Linked DNA regions of Macaca fascicularis. The protein of the gene in region 3 interacts with the protein of the main gene of each other region in a biochemical or structural test. Links are inferred from orthologs where the notes say so. Each region holds a gene or a part of one and is shown on either strand. Other genes may lie near its edges.

The links.
Region 1: the proteins of KPNA1 (region 3) and NOSIP form a complex in vitro, tested with the Homo sapiens proteins (2 studies listed by BioGRID). The link is inferred for Macaca fascicularis from reciprocal best matches to the Homo sapiens genes KPNA1 and NOSIP.
Region 2: the proteins of KPNA1 (region 3) and PKM form a complex in vitro, tested with the Homo sapiens proteins (2 studies listed by BioGRID). The link is inferred for Macaca fascicularis from reciprocal best matches to the Homo sapiens genes KPNA1 and PKM.

Annotation. Positions count from the first base shown.
Region 1 is NC_088393.1:57,524,080-57,530,309, forward strand, and holds part of NOSIP (nitric oxide synthase-interacting protein), read right to left. Parts: intron 4,237-6,230; 5' UTR 4,236-4,236; coding exon 4,166-4,235; intron 3,606-4,165; coding exon 3,500-3,605; intron 2,538-3,499; coding exon 2,456-2,537; intron 792-2,455; coding exon 632-791; intron 536-631; coding exon 417-535; intron 286-416; coding exon 98-285; intron 1-97. UniProt on the Homo sapiens protein: E3 ubiquitin-protein ligase that is essential for proper development of the forebrain, the eye, and the face. Catalyzes monoubiquitination of serine/threonine-protein phosphatase 2A (PP2A) catalytic subunit PPP2CA/PPP2CB.
Region 2 is NC_088381.1:49,042,054-49,048,283, forward strand, and holds part of PKM (pyruvate kinase PKM), read right to left. Parts: intron 1,900-6,230; coding exon 1,768-1,899; intron 1,273-1,767; coding exon 1,086-1,272; intron 362-1,085; coding exon 91-361; intron 1-90. UniProt on the Homo sapiens protein: Catalyzes the final rate-limiting step of glycolysis by mediating the transfer of a phosphoryl group from phosphoenolpyruvate (PEP) to ADP, generating ATP.
Region 3 is NC_088376.1:160,730,013-160,736,342, reverse strand, and holds the start of KPNA1 (importin subunit alpha-5), read right to left. Parts: upstream 3,534-6,330; 5' UTR 3,368-3,533; intron 1-3,367. UniProt on the Homo sapiens protein: Functions in nuclear protein import as an adapter protein for nuclear receptor KPNB1. Binds specifically and directly to substrates containing either a simple or bipartite NLS motif.

The DNA.
Region 1 (6,230 bases), on a different chromosome or scaffold from region 3:
ACTGATCAGAGGCCGTCCTGGAGACCTACTGGCCCCAAAGCCGGCCCGCCCCGCAGGTTCCCAGGTGGTCCCTTCCCTCCCCTCCTAGGTGACTCACGAGGGCCGCAGCACAGCGCAGGGGGTGGCGTTGCTCAGGCTGTCGCGGGTCACGGCGCACACGTAGCGCTCGCTGCGCGTGATGAGCCCCACGCGGTCCACGGAGCTGTCGAGTGGTGTGAAGTGCACGGGCGTCAGGTCTGACATGCGCAGGGGCTTCCCCGACATGGGGCAGGTCACCGTGCGGGACTGCAAGGGGCGGAGAGAGGCAGGCTCAGTAGGCAGGGCTGGCGCAGGTGGAGAACGGGTGGTCCCTGTGCGTGAGAAGGACGCTGGGGGACCCTGGCGCCCTGGCAGCGAGGGGCGCTGTGGGGGCTCACCGGCTTCTCCAGCTTGGTGGCCTTGGCTTCGGGCGTCAGTGACGGGATCCAGAAGCTGGGCAGCACTTTGTCCTTGTCCTTACTTGGAGGACCCACACTGGGCCCAGGTTGGGCATTATCTGTGGAGGAAGAAAGGGACTCAGATGCCGCCCCCTGGGCCCGCCCAGCCCGCGGCGCCCCGCCCCCCAACCCACCACAAGCGCACTCTGAGTCACCTGGGCTGGTGCCCGAGAGGGCCTTGGCTGTGAAAGGGTTGAGAGGCCGGCTTACGATGGCGGACTCCTTCTCCAGGAAGCCCCGCACATGGTCCTGCGAGGCCGCCCGCTGAAGCTCCTTCTGCTCCTCCCGCCGGGTGCCCCGCTGCTTCTCGTAGGCCTGCGCGGGGCGGAAAGTAGGCTGAGCATCTGCCCGTGAGGGTGGGTTTGGACCACCCTCGGGGTTTGGAGGTATCTTCCTCTCATTTCACAGGTAGGTAAACTGAGGCCTACACAGTGGAGGCAGTATCTGGCAGAGGGTGGTAACTGCCTGGGCGGGTGTGAACCTTACTGCGTTGTATAGCCAGAGCGCCAGACTCAAAGCCCATCTCTGTCACTCTGTGGCCTGAGTGAGCACTATGACCGCTCCTGGCCTCAGTTTCTTCATCTGTAAAACAGGCTAACAGTGGTGACCCACCTCGGCGGCTCACTGAAGGTTACATAAGGTGAGTGTTTAAAGCATGGAGAGCCTCACCTGGCACTCAGCTAAGCGTTTAATTAATGTCACCTGCTGGCCAATTAGGTTTACTATACAGTGCATGCCCCAGACCGTGTTTGGGACGGGGGATGTAGACTCCAGGTCTAAGGGAATGCTGAGGAGCCCAGTCTACAGATGGGCAGGGAGTGAGGACGGGAGGAGTGAAGCCACATCCTGAGCTCAGGCCCGCCTGGCGCACAGCAGGTGCCTAGGCAGTGCTGCAGTTCGAGACCACCCTGGGCCACCCAGCTGAGTGAGGAGGTAACAGTGACAGTGATGGATGCTCAGGAGGGCCTCCGACATGACAACCAGGCTGTGTGGAGGACATGGGCACGGGGGAGCCACTTGCTCAGGACAAAAAGCCCAATAAGCACATGACCTGTAGTGTTTCCTCAGTGCCAACAAACAGGCAGGGGAAGAGGGGGACAGACCCACTGTGCCTCAAATGGGGATAAACAGGGCCCCTCCTACCCATCAAATGGCTTTGTCCATGGAAGGCCAGGCCAGGTTCCCAGTAAAACGCCTTGAGAATGCTCATCTGCCTGCACCTCCCAGGTTCCCTGCTGTGTCCTCTGATTTGGCCCTGTCAGCCCATTTTACAGATGATGAAACTGAAGCCCAGAAAAATGAAGTGATGTCGATTCATTTAGCACATCTTTTTTTTTTTTTTTCTTTTTTTTTTTAAACAGAATCTCGCTTTGTCACCCAGGCTGAAGTGCAGTGATGCCATCTCAGCTCATTGCAACCTCTACCTCACGGGTTCAAGCGATTCTCCTGCCTCAGCTTCCTGAATAGCTGGGATTACAGGCACCTGCTATGCCCAGCTAATTTTTTTTTTTTTTTTGTATTTTTAGTAGAGACAGGGTTTCACCATGTTGGCCAGGCTGACCTCTAACTCCTGACCTCAAGTGATCCGCCTGCCTCGGCCTCCCAAAGTGCTGGGATTACAGGTGTGAGCCACCACTGCCGGCCCATTTAGCACATCTTTACTAAGGACCTAAGCCACAGGGGGGAAAACTCGAAGTCCAGAAGGGAAAGTGGGCGTGTGTCAGACAGCCACAGGTAGAGTTACAACTATGCCAAGTGCTAACAGAAGAGGTGACTGGGGCAGATCCAGGGGACTGGCAGGAGCTCAGAGGAGGCAGCACCTGGGCTGAAATCGGTGAGGAGGATTTGGCCGGAAGCAGGAGGGGAATGGTGTACCAGGCAGAGGGAACTGAGACTGGAGGGCTCCAAGTGGCTCTGCCTGTGAGCTCAGACTCAAAAGCTCCTGCCTGCCTGTGCCTCCTTCTCCCCATCCCCATCACCTTCATCTGCCGGGCGATCTCCTTCTTCTGGTGCAGAATGTACTCCAGGATGGCCTCACGCTCATACAGGTAGCCATCTGGGCTGCAAAGACAGGGTGCAATGAGGAAGAAAGAAAGTGATCCTCCCGCCTCGGCCTCCTGAAGTGCTGGGATTACAGGCAGGAGCCATCATGATCAGCCCCAAGTTCAATTATTCGCTAGAATTCACAGAACTCAGCAAAGCTGTTACACTCATGGTGATAGTTCACTGCAGTGAAAGGATGCAGACTAAAATCAGCAAAGGAAAAAGGCACGTGGGGCAGAATCTAATAGAGACCAGATTTCAGCTTGCAGCTGTCCTCTCCCAATAGAGTTGCAGGGAAAGTGCTTCATTCTCGCAGCAACAATGTGTGCCACATGTTGTTGCAGCCAGGAGTTCGAGACCAGCCTGGGCAACAAAGTGAGATCCCCTGTCTACAAAAAACAAACAAAAAAGCCAGGTGTGGTAGTGCACCCCCGTGGTTCCAGCTACTCAGGGGGCTGAGGCAGGAGGATCATCTGAGCCTGGGAGATCAGTGAGCCAAGATCTCCTCATTGCACTCCAGCCTGGACAACAAAGTGAAGACTCTGTCTCAAAAAAAAAAAGAAAAAGAAAAAAAGAAACTGAAGGTGGCCTTGGGGGCCCTGATCATTACTGTCTTCTACAAAATATACCACTAATTGAGCACGTATTTAGTGCCTGGACTCAGCACCCGTTAAGCCTTTGTCCTACCATCACAGGCAGGTCATGGGAAGTGTCCGAAGGTGAGCTGCTGTGATGGCCTCGGCAGTGCTCCAAGAGCCCTACACCCCATTAGGAATATGTTCCTTTCCATCTGTTCCACACTATGAAACAGACACTAGGATCATGCCCATGTCCCAGGTCAGAAAACAGAGGCTCTGAGGATAAACTGCTCGTCCAGGGTTCCCTGGCTGTGCAGGTGGCCAGGCCCACACACACAGCCTCCTCCTGGTGGTTCCCTTGCCCTCCCCACCCAGACCTACCCATCCCTGTTCCCAGCTCACGTGACAACAGGATCGTGGCAAGGCTGCAGGGACAGACAACAGCAGTCGAAGTCCTTCACGGCATCCCGGCTCAGTCGAATGTTCTGGGTCCCATAGCCTGAGGCCGCTGGGGACAGAGAGGGGCAGAGTGATGGAGGGGCAGAGCGACAGGAGACATGCCCGTCTCCAAAGCCCCAGAGAGAGAGGCAGAGAGACAACGGGGTGGTGGGGGTGGGGGACTCAGAGAGAAACAGGCAGTTGGGAGCCGCTGTCTGTGTGCTGGGGCCATGGGCTGAACCCACAGGGAGGTGTCAACCCTGGAGGGTGAGAGGCAAACAGGCCTGGTCACTGAGTGGCAGCTCAGTGGAGGGGCTGACGGCTGACTCCCCTCCACCCTTCTGGCTGTGACCAAGCTCTAGTGCCTGTCCCTCTTTGGGCCTCAGTTTCTTCTTCTGGAGCATGGGGTAACAACAGCGCCATCCCTGACACTCTTGTTGGGAGGAGTGAGTTCATGCGCAGAAGGCAGGGAACACAGTGCCAGGCCACATGGGGGCGTGGGATCACCCGGCTGTTGTTTACATGGTCATGGCCATCAGTGTGTGTCGGGGGCGGGAGACAGACATCCGGCACGAGGGGAGATGGTGACTCCAAGACACATCCATGCCCCGCCCTGCCCTAGCCCTGCACCTGTGTCCTTCTTCTTCTCGTGGTAGGTGTAGACGGCCCCCGCGGTGCAGTTCTTGCCGTGCCGTGTCATCCTGGGGAGGAAGGGACAGTGGCAGGGCTGTGGTGACCGGAGGCAGGCAGCACAGGGAAGACCTCTACAGCCCTCAGAGCTGATCTGCCCCCTCGATGACTCTACAGCCCTCAGAGCTGATCTGCCCCCTCGATGGGAAAGCGGAGGTGGAGAAGCGGGGTGAGGTGGAGGAGAGGGAGGGCATGTGGTCACCAGGCCTCCTCCTGGAAGTCCCCCTTCCAGACTCACCTAGACTCATTTATATATGAAAATAGCACCTTTACCAACAGAATTCTTTGTTTGGAGGGAAGAGGGTGGGGATCCAGGGTTCAAATTCTACCCACTACTTCAGATTAGCTGGGGTGGTGGCTGTGCCATTTAATGGAGGCAGAAAAAAAAAGACACTAAGGGGGCCACTACTGTTGATGAATCCACTCCACCTTCCCTTCCCTTCTCCTATCTGTAGGCTCTGACTGAGGCCAAGGCGTGGACCAGCCCCGTGATTGGCTCAAGGCTTGGCACTTAGCCAAGGCTTGACCCAATCGCTGCGTACCAGTCCACTAGCGATTGGATCTAGCGTCTGTGATTATATCTCAGATCGACCAATCAGAGGGCAGGTCAGAGTAGGGCTCTGTGGCTAGGGGAAGAGCTACCTCCACTCCCACTGCGGGTAAAGGAGGAAGAGAAGACCCCAGAATCCTGGAGCTCAATTCAAAAAGCAAAACTTTATTCTGTAAGTTTTCAAACACATACAAAACCAGAATAGCGTAAGGAACCCCATGTACCCATGTCCTGAGGTCCAGCACCTGTCAACATCTTGCCACCCTACTTTGATACCTTTGATCATTCCCCATACTTGAGTGCAAGCCCCACCCTTTTAAAAGACTTTATTGAGACTTAATTCACATACCATAAAATTGACTTTTTTTTTTTTTTTTTTTTTTTTGAGATGGAGTTTCGCTCATGTTGCCCAGACTGGAGTGCAATGGCATGATCTTGGCTCACTGAAACCTCCGCCTCCCAAGTTCAAGCGATTCTCCTGCCTCAGCCTCCCAAATAGCAGGGATTACAGGTGCCTGCCACCACACCTGGCTAATTTTTTTGTATTTTTAGTAGAGATGGGGTTTCACCCTGTTGGCCAGGCTGGTCTTGAACTCCTGACCTCAGATGATCCACCCACCTCAGTCTCCCAAAGTGCTGGGATTACAGGCGTGAGCCACCGCGCCTGCCCCTGCATGCTTTTTTATCCCTTAAAAGGATTCAGAGCCAGGCTCAGGGCTCACGCCTGTAATCCCAAAACTTTGGGAGGCCGAAGCAAGAGGACTGCTTGAGTCCACAAGATAGAGATGAGCCTAGGCAACACAGCAAGATCCATCTCTATTAAATTTAAAAAGAAATAAGTTGATGGCCAGGTGCAGTGGCTGACACCTGTAATCCCAACACTTTGGGAAGCCGAGGTGGGGGCAGATCATGAGGCCAAGAGATCAAGATCATTCTGGCCAACATGGTGAAACCCCATCTCTACTAAAAATACAAAAATTAGCTGGGCGTGGTGCAGGCCTGCAATCCCAGCTATTCGGGAGGCTGAGGCAGAAGAATCGCTTGAACCCAGGAGGTGCAGGTTGCAGCGAGCTGAGATTGCACCACTGGACTCCAGCCTGGTGACACAGTGAGACAAAGAAAGAAGAAAAGAAAAGAAAAAAAAAAAAAGAAAGGAAAGAAAGAAGGAAGGAAGGAAGGAAACAAAGAAAGAATCTAGTAACATTATATACTAGTCTCACTCATCTCTAAGTTGCCACCTAAAAATTCTCCCAAGCTTAAACAGTTGCAAAGGATACAATTTCCAGCAACGTAAATGTGTAGCTAATGGAATCTAAATACTGTAATGATTTGAGACCATTTGAAAAATGCAAGAAAAAGCTCTGCTTTAACAGCAGAAAATTGTACATGTCCTGTTTTTCTCTTTGAACTTGTATTTCTGTTCCACTTCCCTCTCTGCCACCCATTTTTAATCTA
Region 2 (6,230 bases), on a different chromosome or scaffold from region 3:
TACATTCTGATGGGAATCAGATATTCACAGGATGCACCATGCCCTTTAGAGAGCTGCGCTGGGACTGGAGCAGGGACAATGGGGACTTGCCTCCGAACCCCCTCATGATTCTCGATTTTGCTGATTATCTTGATGTTCTTTCCCTTCTCTCCCAGGACCTTCCTAACTTCATGGACATCAGCTGCCTTGCGGATGAACGACGCAAACACCATATCGACATCCTGCTCGACCCCAAACTTCAGATCCTGGATGTCCTTTTCCGACACAGCAGGCAAGTCCACAGCAGCCCCAGGAAGGTTCACACCCTTCTTGCTGCCCAAGGAGCCACCATTTTCCACCTCCGTCACCAGGAAGTCAGCACCTGTGTTTTGAAAAGGGGTAAGCAGGGGAGGCAGAGTACCGAGGGCACAGCTCAACAGGAAGCAGGCACCTTTCCCCCAAGCACAGTGAGCTGGGAAGTGGTGCATTATGGGTGCTGGAGCTGTTTTACCAGAGTTGAAACCCTACTACAACTAACTGTGTAATCCTAGGCAAGCCATTTAACCTCTCTGTACCTCACTTTCCACACCCATAAAAAAGGAGAATTAAGATTGTTTTGACTTTGGGAGGCCAAGGCAGGCAGATCACTTGAGGTCAGGAGTTTGAGACCAGCCTGGCCAACATGGTGAAACCCCGTCTCTACTAAAAATACAAAAAAACTAGCCAGGCGTGGTGGCGGGTGCCTGTAAACCCAGCTACTCGGGAGGCTGAGGTAGGAGAATCGCTAGAACCCTGGGGGCAGAGGTTGCAGTGAGCCAAGATTGTGCCACTGCACTCCAGCCTGGGCAACAGAGCGAGACTCTGTCTCAAAAAAGAAATATATGTGTGTATATATATATGTTCCTATGTTCTCCGGAACCAGAAGAATGTAACTATGCTGGATTAAAGCCTGTCTTTGAGGATAAATGAGTTATAAAAGGGATTCCTGAGAACACACAGACTCAATGTCACTGCCAGGCAACCAACCTTCCCATCTTCCTTGTGTCAAGGAACTTTAGAGACAAAAGATGGGTTTTAGACAATTGGATTCCAGCTCCCATACGTACCTTTCTGCTTCACCTGGAGAGAAATAAGCCCATCATCCACGTAGATCTTGCTGCCCACTTCCACCACCTTGCAGATGTTCTTGTAGTCCAGCCATAGGATGTTCTCGTCACACTTTTCCATGTAGGCGTTATCCAGCGTGATTTTGAGAGTGGCTCCCTTCTTCAGCTCCACCTCTGCAGTGCCGCTCTAGGGAGTAAGCAAGAGAGTAAGCCAGAGTCCAAACTGGAGACACCAGTAGCAGCATCACCGCAGAAGCAATGGAAAAGCTCTTTCCTCCAGGGAACAATGCTCAAGTCACCGCTAAAAATAATACAGTTTTTTGCTCTTATTCTCTAACTCAGTACACTTCACAGAAATAATCTAAGAAAATAGAATATAATGTTTCAGTTATGCTACTTAATGATGGGGAAAAAGATACAAAGAGATGGTTCCCCAAGTTAGAAAGCCTAAAGTTTAGGTTTTTAGGGTAAAAAAAGGGTTCCTCTGTGGTACCATTTCCTAGCAAAGTAAATCAAATCAACATTGTTTACAGTGATGAATAAATCCTCATTTGTAGACCTCAACTCCTCTACAGTCCTTCATAGTGCTGGGATGAAACACGGCATCTCAACGCTTTGGAGGACATGTCTCTGGGGCATATTGCCTACTGAGTCTTTCCCTCGCTCTCCACAGAATACTCACGCCCTTGATGAGCCCAGTTCGGATCTCAGGTCCTTTAGTGTCCAGAGCCACAGCAACGGGCCGGTAGAGGATGGGGTCAGAAGCAAAGCTTTCCGTGGCTGTGCGCACATTCTTGATGGTCTCCGCGTGGTACTGGGGAAAAAGAAGGAAGATGACAAGCGTGCTCCCACACTAGGATCCAGCTCAATTTCCCTGCCCAGGAGCCAAAGCTGATCACTCAGGAAAGGCCTGTGGATGTCTTAGAGCTCTATCTCCATCCTCAGAACGATCCATGCACTGAGAACTCCTCTACCTGCTTAATCCAATCTCCTCAGCCTCCACCCACTTCTACTACAGCAGTAATTCACCCTAAGGGCAAATCTTTGAAACGCTGGTGGCAAATTTCAGAATATTGCCACCAAAACCCATTAAGGTATGGGTGCAAACATGTCTCATCATAAAAGCAGCTGTGTTCCCAGGGCTGTTCTTTTTTCCCTAAGACTCATCAAATACCCTCAGCAAATAAAGCTGATAAACAGGGCAAAAAGCCTAGAACTTGTGTTTGGATAAGGCTGATCTGGCAATCAATGTCACATTCTGATATATGTGGTAATGCTGAGAGCTTTTCCTCTATTGATTCCAACTACAACGCAAACTTGAAGTTATTGACTTAAGCTAACAGTGGCCCAAGCTAAACAACTCATTGCTAAGGTCACACAGACCTGATTTTCTCAATCACTTTTTTTTTGGGGGAATACAGTCTCACTGTGCCGTCCAGGCTGGAGTGCAATGGCACAATCTCAGCTCACTGCAAGCTCCGCCTCCCAGGTTCACACCATTCTCCTGCCTCAGTCTGGGACTGCAGGCGCCCACCAGCAGGCCTGGCTAATTTTTTGGATTTTTAGTAGGGACTGGGTTTCACCATGTTATCCAGGATGGTCTCGATCTCCTGACCTTGTGATCCGCCCACCTTGGCCTCCCAAAAGTGCTGGGATTACAGGGGTGAGCCACTGCGCCCAGCCTCAATCACTTTCTAGATTCTGACTGGAGACGGGGAAAGGTGGTCATATGCCTTTCTCTAAATGAACTGCCCTTTATTATTCCTTGCTTGCAACAAATCTGTGCTTCAATCTTTTTTCTTAAGCCTTTCCTCCTTTCCATTTACCATTTTGTTTGTTTAAAAGAGGGACTCAGGCTAAGCACAGTGGCTCATGCCTGTAAACCAAACACTTTGGGAGGCTAAGGTGGGAGGACAGCTTGGGCCCAGGAGTTTGAGATGAGCCTGGGCAACACGGCGAAACCCCATCTCTACAAAAAACACAAAAATTAACTGTGCATGATGGTGGGTGCATGGGGTCCCAGCTACTTGTGAGGCTGAGGTGGGAGGATCACTTATGTCTAGGAGGTCAAGGCTACAGTGAGCCATGATCATACCACTGCACTCTGGCCTGGATACCCTACTATCCAAAGCAACACCCTATCTCAAGAAAAAAGATTTAAAAAAAAAAAAAAAAAAAAAAAAGCTGCAGAGCCAAGATGTCGAAAGAGCTCTAAGACAGCGTGATCAATATGACATTGCTGATAACAAGGGCACCTAATTCAGCACTTTCTGGGCCTTGTCCTTTAACCACCACTGTCCAGGAAAGCGGCACCTGCAAGTAAGCCTGCCTGTTATTCACAGGATGCTGGAGGGAGCTGGAGCCAGAGCTTAGCCTCTAAAGACAATGTTGCCTGAAGCCTGTATCTGAAAATCTTCAGCTTCTTATTCAGGCATACTCCCTAATGAGGGACCGTTGGCTTGTTCGTTTTTTATAGGGTTCCTTATAAATTATTATATTTTCTTGCTTACTGGCTTGTAATAGAAATAGAACAAAATAGAATTGAATAGAGGCTGGGTGCGGTGGCTCACGCCTGTAATCCCAACACTTCGGGAGGCCAAGGCGGGTGGATCATGACATCAAGAGATCAAGACCATCCAGGCCAATATGGTGAAACCCCATCTTGACTTAAAATACAAAAATTAGCTGGGAATGGTGGCGCGCACCTGTAGACCCAGCTACTCGGGAGGCTGAGGCAAGAGAACCACTTGAACCTAGGAGGCAGAAGTTGCGGTGAGCCGAGATCGTGCCACTGCACTCCAGCCTGGGCGACAGAGTGAGATTCTGTCTCTAAAAAAAATAAAAGAATAGAATAGAAATAGTTGTTTTCTTTTAAGGGGATGTGGTACCTTTCCTTCAGAGTTGATGTGAGCAGTAAAAGAATACATTAAGTATTAGGACAAAGTACATGGTAATTATTTAACAAATGTTACCTATTATTATCATCTTATAATGGTAAGACTCAGGTGGACTGAGTTCCACCATAACTGTGGCTTTGTTGGGATGTTATCATGTGGTAAAGAGTTCCACCCATCAATGCTGTCCTGCAGAAGGCTCTATATTTAGCTACATTTAGGTTGTTTAAAAGTCATCCTTAACTCAGGCCGGGCGCAGTGGCTCACGCCTGTAATCCCAGCACTTTGGGAGGCCGAGGTAGGGGGGATCACAAGGTCAGAAGATCGAGACCATCCTGGCTAACACGGTGAAACCCAATCTCTACTAAAAATACAAAAACAAAATTAGCTAGGCGTTGGTGGCAGGCGCCTGTAGTCCCAGCTACTCGGGAGCCTGAGGCAGAGAATGGTGTGAACCCGGGAGGCACAGCTTGCAGTGAGCCGAGATCGTGCCACTGCATTCCAGCCTGGTTGACAGAGTGAGACTCCGTCTTAAAAAAAAAAAAAAGTCGGCCGGGCGCGGTGGCTCAAGCCTGTAATCCCAGCACTTTGGGAGGCCGAGACGGGCGGATCACGAGGTCAGGAGATTGAGAGACGATCCCGGCTAACACGGTGAAACCCCGTCTCTACTAAAAAATACAAAAAAAATAGCCGGGCGAGGTGGCGGGCGCCTGTAGTCCCAGCTACTCGGGAGGCTGAGGCAGGAGAATGGCGTAAACCCGGGAGGCGGAGCTTGCAGTGAGCTGAGATCCGGCCACTGCACTCCAGCCTGGGTGACAGAGTAAGACTCCGTCTCAAAAAAAAAAAAAAAAAAAAAAAGTCAACCTTAACTCTACTTAATCTTAATGTAGAATTTTGTGCTCCTAGAATAAAATCTACTTGGTCATGGATCAAGACATTCCTTTCAATCACTACTGGATTTGGATTATTAAATTTTATTTGTTTTCTGCATCTAAGTGAGACTGGTCTAGCACGCTGTTAGTACCTGCCTGGTTTTGGTACTGTCCTTGTCTGATCTCAGTATCAGAGTATGTTGGTTTCAAAGAACACAGTGGGAAGATTTCTGTATTTCTCTAGGCTCTGGAACAGTTTAACAATGTAACTGAATTTTGAAGGGGAGACAATTCAGCCACTAAAATCGTTTGGACTTAAATGTTCTGAGATGAACCAGATCTTAGCCACTTTTTCAACTTTTTGGCTGGAGTGCAGTGGTGCAATCTCAGTTCACTGCAGCCTCCACCTCCCCAGGTTCTAGCAATTCTCCTGCCTCAGGCTCCTGAGTAGCTGGGACTGCAGGCATGTGCCACCATGCCCCGCCAGTTTTGTATTTTTAGTAGAGACAGGGTTTCACCATGTTGGCCAGGCTGGTCTCGAACTCCTGACCTCAAGTGATCCCTCTTCCTTGGCTTCCCAAAGTGCTGGGATTGCAGGTTGAGCCCAGCCCACTTTTTCAACTTCTTATGGCCACTGGTCTATTCATATTTTCTATCTTTTTGGCATTTAATCTTTTCTTGGAAAATAGCCAGTGTCATCTCTCTCTATAGGAATTAAGTTATAAGTCTTTCTTGACTTTTAAAATCTCCAATGTGTAGGAAATATTCCCTTTTCTATTCATACTCTTATTTGTACATCCTTGCATTCTTCACCTGGCTTCCCAGAACTTTCTATTTTACTATTTTTTACCCACAAATAATCAGCTCTTAGCTTAATTTGTCAAATTTATTTTCATTTCATTGAGCTATAATCTTACAAAATTATTTTTCTTCACCCTTTTTAGGGTTTTCCTCCCCTAGTGTTCTGAGTTAAATATTTATTCCATCTACCTTGAGATCTTTGCTTTCTAAAGTAAGCACACTTCAGTTTTCTTGACTTTGTTCTTAATTTCCATTAAAAAATGTTTAGCAGAGAATGTGTCTGTATAATTTCTACTTTATGAAACTTGGGGTTTTTTTTGGTGGCCTAATATGTATTTGTAACCATGAGTGTTTCACACAAACATGCATTTTTGGTCTTGGGGATGTAAAACTATGTATTATAAACATACCAATTATTAGGTGTATTATTCAAATCTATGTTATATATTATAATCTCTTAGAGCATTTCTGGGAGGTGTACTGAGTCTTCTACTATAGCTGTGGCTTTGTTGGGATGTTACATGGTAAAGAGTTTCATCCATCAATGCTGTCCTGTGGAAGGCTCTACATTTAGGTTG
Region 3 (6,330 bases):
CACATTCTGGATTACTGCCTGCTTTCAAGAACTGTCCGAATTAGTCTACAGCACTTGGACAGAACCATTTTTTCATGTTCTGTTTTGTAGATTTGTAACATCTTAAAAAAAAAGAAAGAAACATACATTCCCATAGTCTTCATCCCTACTCTTCCAATGTTTCCAAAATTTCCAAAATTTTCTAATGCTGGCCCTATCTGGTCTCCAGTTGGCCTGAGGCCATCTCCTGCTTACCACAGCAAAAGAGAGAAATCAGCCCAAATCAGCTAATTAACTATTCACCACTTCCAATGTTTTCTTCCGTATTATGGCTAAATTCATAACACCATGCAAAGTACAAAGATACCTTAAAACAAAACAAGGCGTTATCTTTTATCACTAGGTCAGTCATCTTTACTTGCAAGACCAATCAAAGGTCTTAATTGATTTTATACACAGTATTCATACATCTAAAAACAATCTGGCAGACTTAAAAGCACAGACTTCATAAATCATTAAAACTCTATTTTATCATTAATTCAACAAACACTGCTAAAACACTGAAGATGAAAACAATAGGATATAATCCTATTCTCAAATGTAAAGGGAAAAGGACCATCGAGAGCAACAGAGAATAAAGAAAATAATCCAGGAAACAACTGACAGCAATTCCAGATTACGTATAAAATAATTTTTAACATAGTTGAGACTAAAGAAAATTATAAAAATTGAACACAGCTCTGAGCCTCCTGACAGTCAAAAGTATGGAGAAACAGGATGGCTTACAAAACAATCTAATAAAACCAGTCATCTGTTTAAAAAAAAAAAAGCTTAATACTGGGGTCTTAGGAAGAATTTGTCTCCAAGGTCTGTATTTTATAGGAACCAATAAATAAATTAGAAATTTCTTCATTAGATATAAATGAAGAAAATGTTTTTCATGGCCCCTTTTGGTATGTATCAGTTCTAGATAAGATGTATATTAAATCATAGTTCTGTGAAGAAACTTCTATGAGAACCACTTTATAAAGTAACATAATGCAGCTGGGCGCAGTGGCTCATGCCTGTAATCCTAGCACTTCAGAAGGCCGAGGAGGGCGGACCGCGTGAGCTCAGGCGTTCGAGACCAGCCTGGGCAAGACGGTGAAACCCCATCTATACTAAAATACAAAAAATTAGCCGGGTGTGGCCGTATGCGCCTGTAGTCCCAGCAGTCTCAGGCAGGAGAACTGCTTGAACCAAGGAGGCGGAGATTGCAGGGAGCCTGCAGGGAGCCCAGATCTCATCACTGCACTCCAGCCTGGGCAACAGAGCAAGTCCTCCACACCCCCCCCCAAAAAATAATAAAATAAAAAATAACATAATGCAAGAACAGTGATTTCAGGTGATACCTTTCCCATTTAGTTTATTCTAGGTTTTTATAAATGTATGTTTTGTTGCCCTACAGGACTGTAAATTCCTCAAGGCTTATGTTGTCTGCTTCCATTTCAACTGCCTTTACTATTTAGTAGAGTGCTTTACAGTTGCTACTCAACTATAACTGATAAAATGTTATGCAGTCAATATTTGTAATATTAGCTTTCCCCGCTACACTATAAATTCCATGAGAACAGTGACAGTGAGTTTTGATCGCGACTATATCCCTCCAAATCTAGAAGATCACTCTATAAGTATTCGCTGATTGAACGGATTAAATAAAGAAAACACAACGAAAAAGTATGAAAGGAGAGAAATAATTTAAATGGCAGTAACTTTGGGTTCTAAGGTTGTTCTCAATAAGAGCTAGAAGACCTCAGGTAAGTTACTTAACATTTGATTGTCAATGCTTTCATCTGTAAAATAGAAAAATTAACAGATATTTCAGATTTAAATGTTTTTAATATATATATAAAGCATTTAACACAATACCTGAAAAAGAACTCAATAAATGTTAATTCCTTTACTTTCTCTTACATCTCATCTATCCATAAAACAGTGCCTTCCAGGAATATATTATTTCAGTAAAAATACAACAGTAATCATTCTTACTTTCCTTTGAAAAATTAAATTTTCATCTCTTTAATCTTTAAAAAGGAGGGAAAAATAACTTGTGGACTGCTTTCAAAATATTACAAATGCAAAAGCTAGTTAAGAAAAAAACAGTGTCGAGAATGAGCCTTGTTGGTGGCACCCGCCTGTAGTTCCAGGTAATGGGGGGGATGCCTTGAGGCCAGGAGTTCCAGATCAGCCAGGGAAACAAAGCTAGACTCCATCTCTTAAGAAAAAAAAAACAGGAGGGGGGAAATCACCTTATCTACTAATAGAGATTTTTAAGCAACCGTTTATTTAAGAAAAAACGGTGAAATTCAAGTTAATATTACTTGAGAGTACCCGTTTCAGAAAAAAAAAATACTCTGCATTGCTGGGTGTGGTTGCCCGAGACTAGTCCCAGCTACTTGGGAGGCCAAGGCAGGAGGCCAGTTTGAGCTCAGGAGTTGGGAGTACAGCCTGGGCAATATAGCGAGACCCCATCTCTTTAAAACACAAAAATTCGGCAATCGTTTGTTCCGAGTTGAAACCTTAAAAACGAAATATTTTGAACGCTTTCACTTAAAAGTGGAACATGACCCAATCCCAAAAACATTACTTCATGACGACTCCCTTGACTCCAGTCATCCTTCAGTTTTATCCTCCAGTTGTGAGCTTAATCTGATACCTAGCTGTTTCCCTCGCATCGCCACTTTAACACGCGGTGTGCAGACCAAGTTCTGTCATTCCTGTAATTACCACACCCCCAATCAGCCGCTACAGGCCCCTGTTGTTATGACATCTGTAAACTGCAGCCGGTCGTCTCCACCTCCCCGCGCCCCCGCCCCGCTTCCCCTACCTCCCTCCGGGCCGCCGGCTCCGACCCGGGCTGTAACTTGTGAATTCCCAAGACGGTCCCTTCTTGCCAGGGTTAGAAATTTTACACGCCACCCCTGCTCCTTCCTGCCTCTGTCAGAGCGCTCTGCACGGCCCACCCCCGCCTCCCGCCCGCCGCCCAGCCACGGCGCAGGCTCCGCGCTCGCCTCCTCTCCGCCCGCTGCCTCGGCACTCCGCAGTCCCCGGCGCCGCTTACAGCCCTGCCGCCGCGCCACGCCGCCCCGCCCCGCCTCGACCGGCGTTCCCGATGGCGATCACACCAGGGCTCCCCACCCCCACCCTCTCCTCCGCCGGCCGCGCGGCCGTTAGGACAGCAGGGCCCGTGACGCACGGACGCGGGCCGAGCGTCCGGGCCCAGGCACCGCGGCTCGAGGCCCGGCCGGCGCCCGCCCTCGCCCCAGGGCCTCCCCCGAGTCCCTCCCGGACTGCCCGGATCTGCCGGCGGGAGGGGGAGGGGCCGAGGCCGCAAAGCCCCCGCACTCACCAGGCTCAAGGCAACCGATCCCGGTGCCACCGCTGAAGTGAGCCCTCGCTCGCCCGCCCGCCGTGCCGCTCCCCGCGCACAACCTCGAAGAGCTGGCCCGCGCCTCGGCGGTGCTCAGCAGGCCTCGCTCTCCGCCGCCGCGCACCTAGCAGCAAGACTCAGCTCTGCCGGCGTTCGCAGTGCGCCTGCGTGCGGGGGCCGGCCCGAGCGCCTACGCGCGCCCCTCCGGCGCTTGCCGCAGAGGCTGCCGGGAGACGTAGTCTTGTAACGCTCTCTCGCCGCACGTTCCTAGCGATTCTCGCCCAGCCTGCGAAGAGTCGGGGATCGGGGAGAGGAGAGGGTCTCGCTAAGAAGGAGGTTTGCAGACCATAACAAAGGTTGGAGAAAGTTATATGTGCAAACCTGTCTTTGCTAAGCTCTTCCAGGGCGGATCGATGTTCACCTCTGTATAGCTTCTAACAAAGTAGGTAACTAATACGCGTTGATGGAATGAATGATGGAATGATTGAAGACTGAGGGAGTATTACAAAATTAGTAGGTCAGCGCCTCGTGTCTAAAGGGCTCACGTGCAGCATGAATGCAAGAAGCTTCTGGACATTCCTTTTTTAGTTATGTCCCATCCCCTTTGCTTGATAATGTATGAGTAGTATCAAAAATAATTAAGTGCCGGGTGCAGTGGCTCACACCTGTAATCCCAGCACCTTGGGAGGCCTAGGCCGGTGGAATACTTGAGACCAGGAGTTTGAGACTAGCCTGGGCAACATCGCGAAACCCCGTCTCTACTAAAAATACAAAAATTAGCCGGGGGTGGTGACGGGCGCCTGAAGTTCCAGCTACTGGGGAGGCTGAGGTGGGAGAATCACCTGAGCCCGGAGTTGACGATGAGGCTGCAGTGAGCCGAGATCGCACCACTACACTCCAGCCTGGGCAACCGGAGTGAGACCCTGCCTCAATAATAATAATAATAATAATAATAATTAAGAAACTACATGAAACACAAATACTCGTTTTACTCTCAAGTGCTCTCAAACGAAAACTTGGAGCAAATGATTGTTAATGTTAAATTTGATGGAATTCTTTGGGGGAGCAAATGGAGTAGTGGCTTCAAAAGAAAAACTGAAGCCAGCCTAGCAGGGGTCACAGAATAGTAGATAGATTTAAAACATATGCCAAGAAGCAAGGTAAAAGAGATGAGGTAGATTAGTACATTTATAAATGTCCCAGGGAAGAGGAGAAGACAGAGGACCACTCTACCTGAATCCTAGGTTATGCAATGTTCATTTGTCCTGGACTTCACTCTGCTGCATCAGCATTCTCCCGCGATGTGTTTACTAAGATCAGAGTTGAGTTTGAGCAATGTGGCTGGGGAAAGGGAAGGTGTGTTCACCAGGAGAGACTTGAGGGCAAGTTTGCCTGACCCCAGCTAGACTGAAGACAGATCACCTTATTCCAATAAGGAGGTAAGATTGATTATTCAGAGCTGGTCTTCAGTCTTCGGGAAAGCTAATTTATTTCCAGTTCACCCTTAATCCTAGCTAGTCCTTGATGGTCCCATCCAAAAGTCTGGGCTATTTACTCGGGCCTCTTCTCTTTGATGGGCCTTCTAAGGCCCATGAGACAACCATAGGCTCTGCTCACTTTTTCAGCCACTGCTTTCAGAGTCAGCAATCACCTTAGCTTTGGAAAAATGATGACAAATATCAGGCTCACCTCTGGTGGCTTCCTTTTTCTTCCAGATCTTGCACTCACAAATTCTCACTTCCTTGGTAGCTCTTCAGTACATTAACGTTTTTATATTTTGTCCAGTTGTTCTCTGTAGTGGAAAGGTTGATTGAAAACAACAGTAGGCCATTGCTGGAAGTTGAAGTACTATGTATGTTACTTTTACAAAAGTGTTATCTTACAGTACATGATGTTTTATAAGCTAATGTCTCTCTGACAATATCATTTTATATTTTGAGAAATTTGAAATTATAGAACAGTATTTTTTGTTATCACAAACAATGCTGCTATGAACATTCTTGTACATCTCTACTGTGTATAGGGAAACTGCTAGATCCTAGGACATTGCATCTTTAACCTTACTGTATATATTAGATAGAAATCTAAGATGGCCCCTATAATCTCTGGTCCCTGGTGTTGCCTATATAATCTCCACCCCTTGAGTGTAGGTGGGACCTTTGACTTACTTCTAGCCAACAGAATATGGCAAAGATGATAGGATGTCACTTCCATGATTCCTTTTCATTATATAAGACTGTCTTTCCAAACTGGAGCTAGAGATTTGCTGCTGGCCTTGAAGAAGCAAGCTGTCATGTTGTGAACTGCCTATGGAGAAGACCACATGCCAGGGAACTGCAGATGGCTTCTAGAACTTGAGTGCAGCCTCGAGCTGACAACCAGTAAGAAGCCAGGGCCCTCAGTCATACAACTACAAGGAAATGAATTCTGCCAACACCCTGAGAGAGGTCAGCCTCCAGATGAGAAGACAGCCTGACTTACACCTTGATAGCAGTTTTGTGAGATCCCGAGCAAAGGAAACAGCTAAACTGTGCCTGGACTCCTGGTCCACAGAAACTGTGAGATAATAAATGTGTCTTCACATACTATATTTATGGTAATTTATTATACAATAGAAAACTAATACACTAGACATTGCTGGATTATTTCATAAAGTAATTGTACCCATTTGTACTCTATAAACGGTATATAAGATACTCTTCACTTGCTAACAGTTAGAAATGTCTGGCTTTTTACATTTTTGCCAATCTAACATATAAATTACTTGAACATAAAAACATGAAAAATAGATATTTACTTAGAATTGTGTATTCTGTTGTATTTCTTTTCTGTTGCATAAATGCAATTAAATAAAATAGCAGGCTGGGAACAGTGGCTCATGCCTGTAATCCCAGCACTTTTGGAGGCTGAGGCAGGAGGATCACTTGAACCCAGGAGTTCCA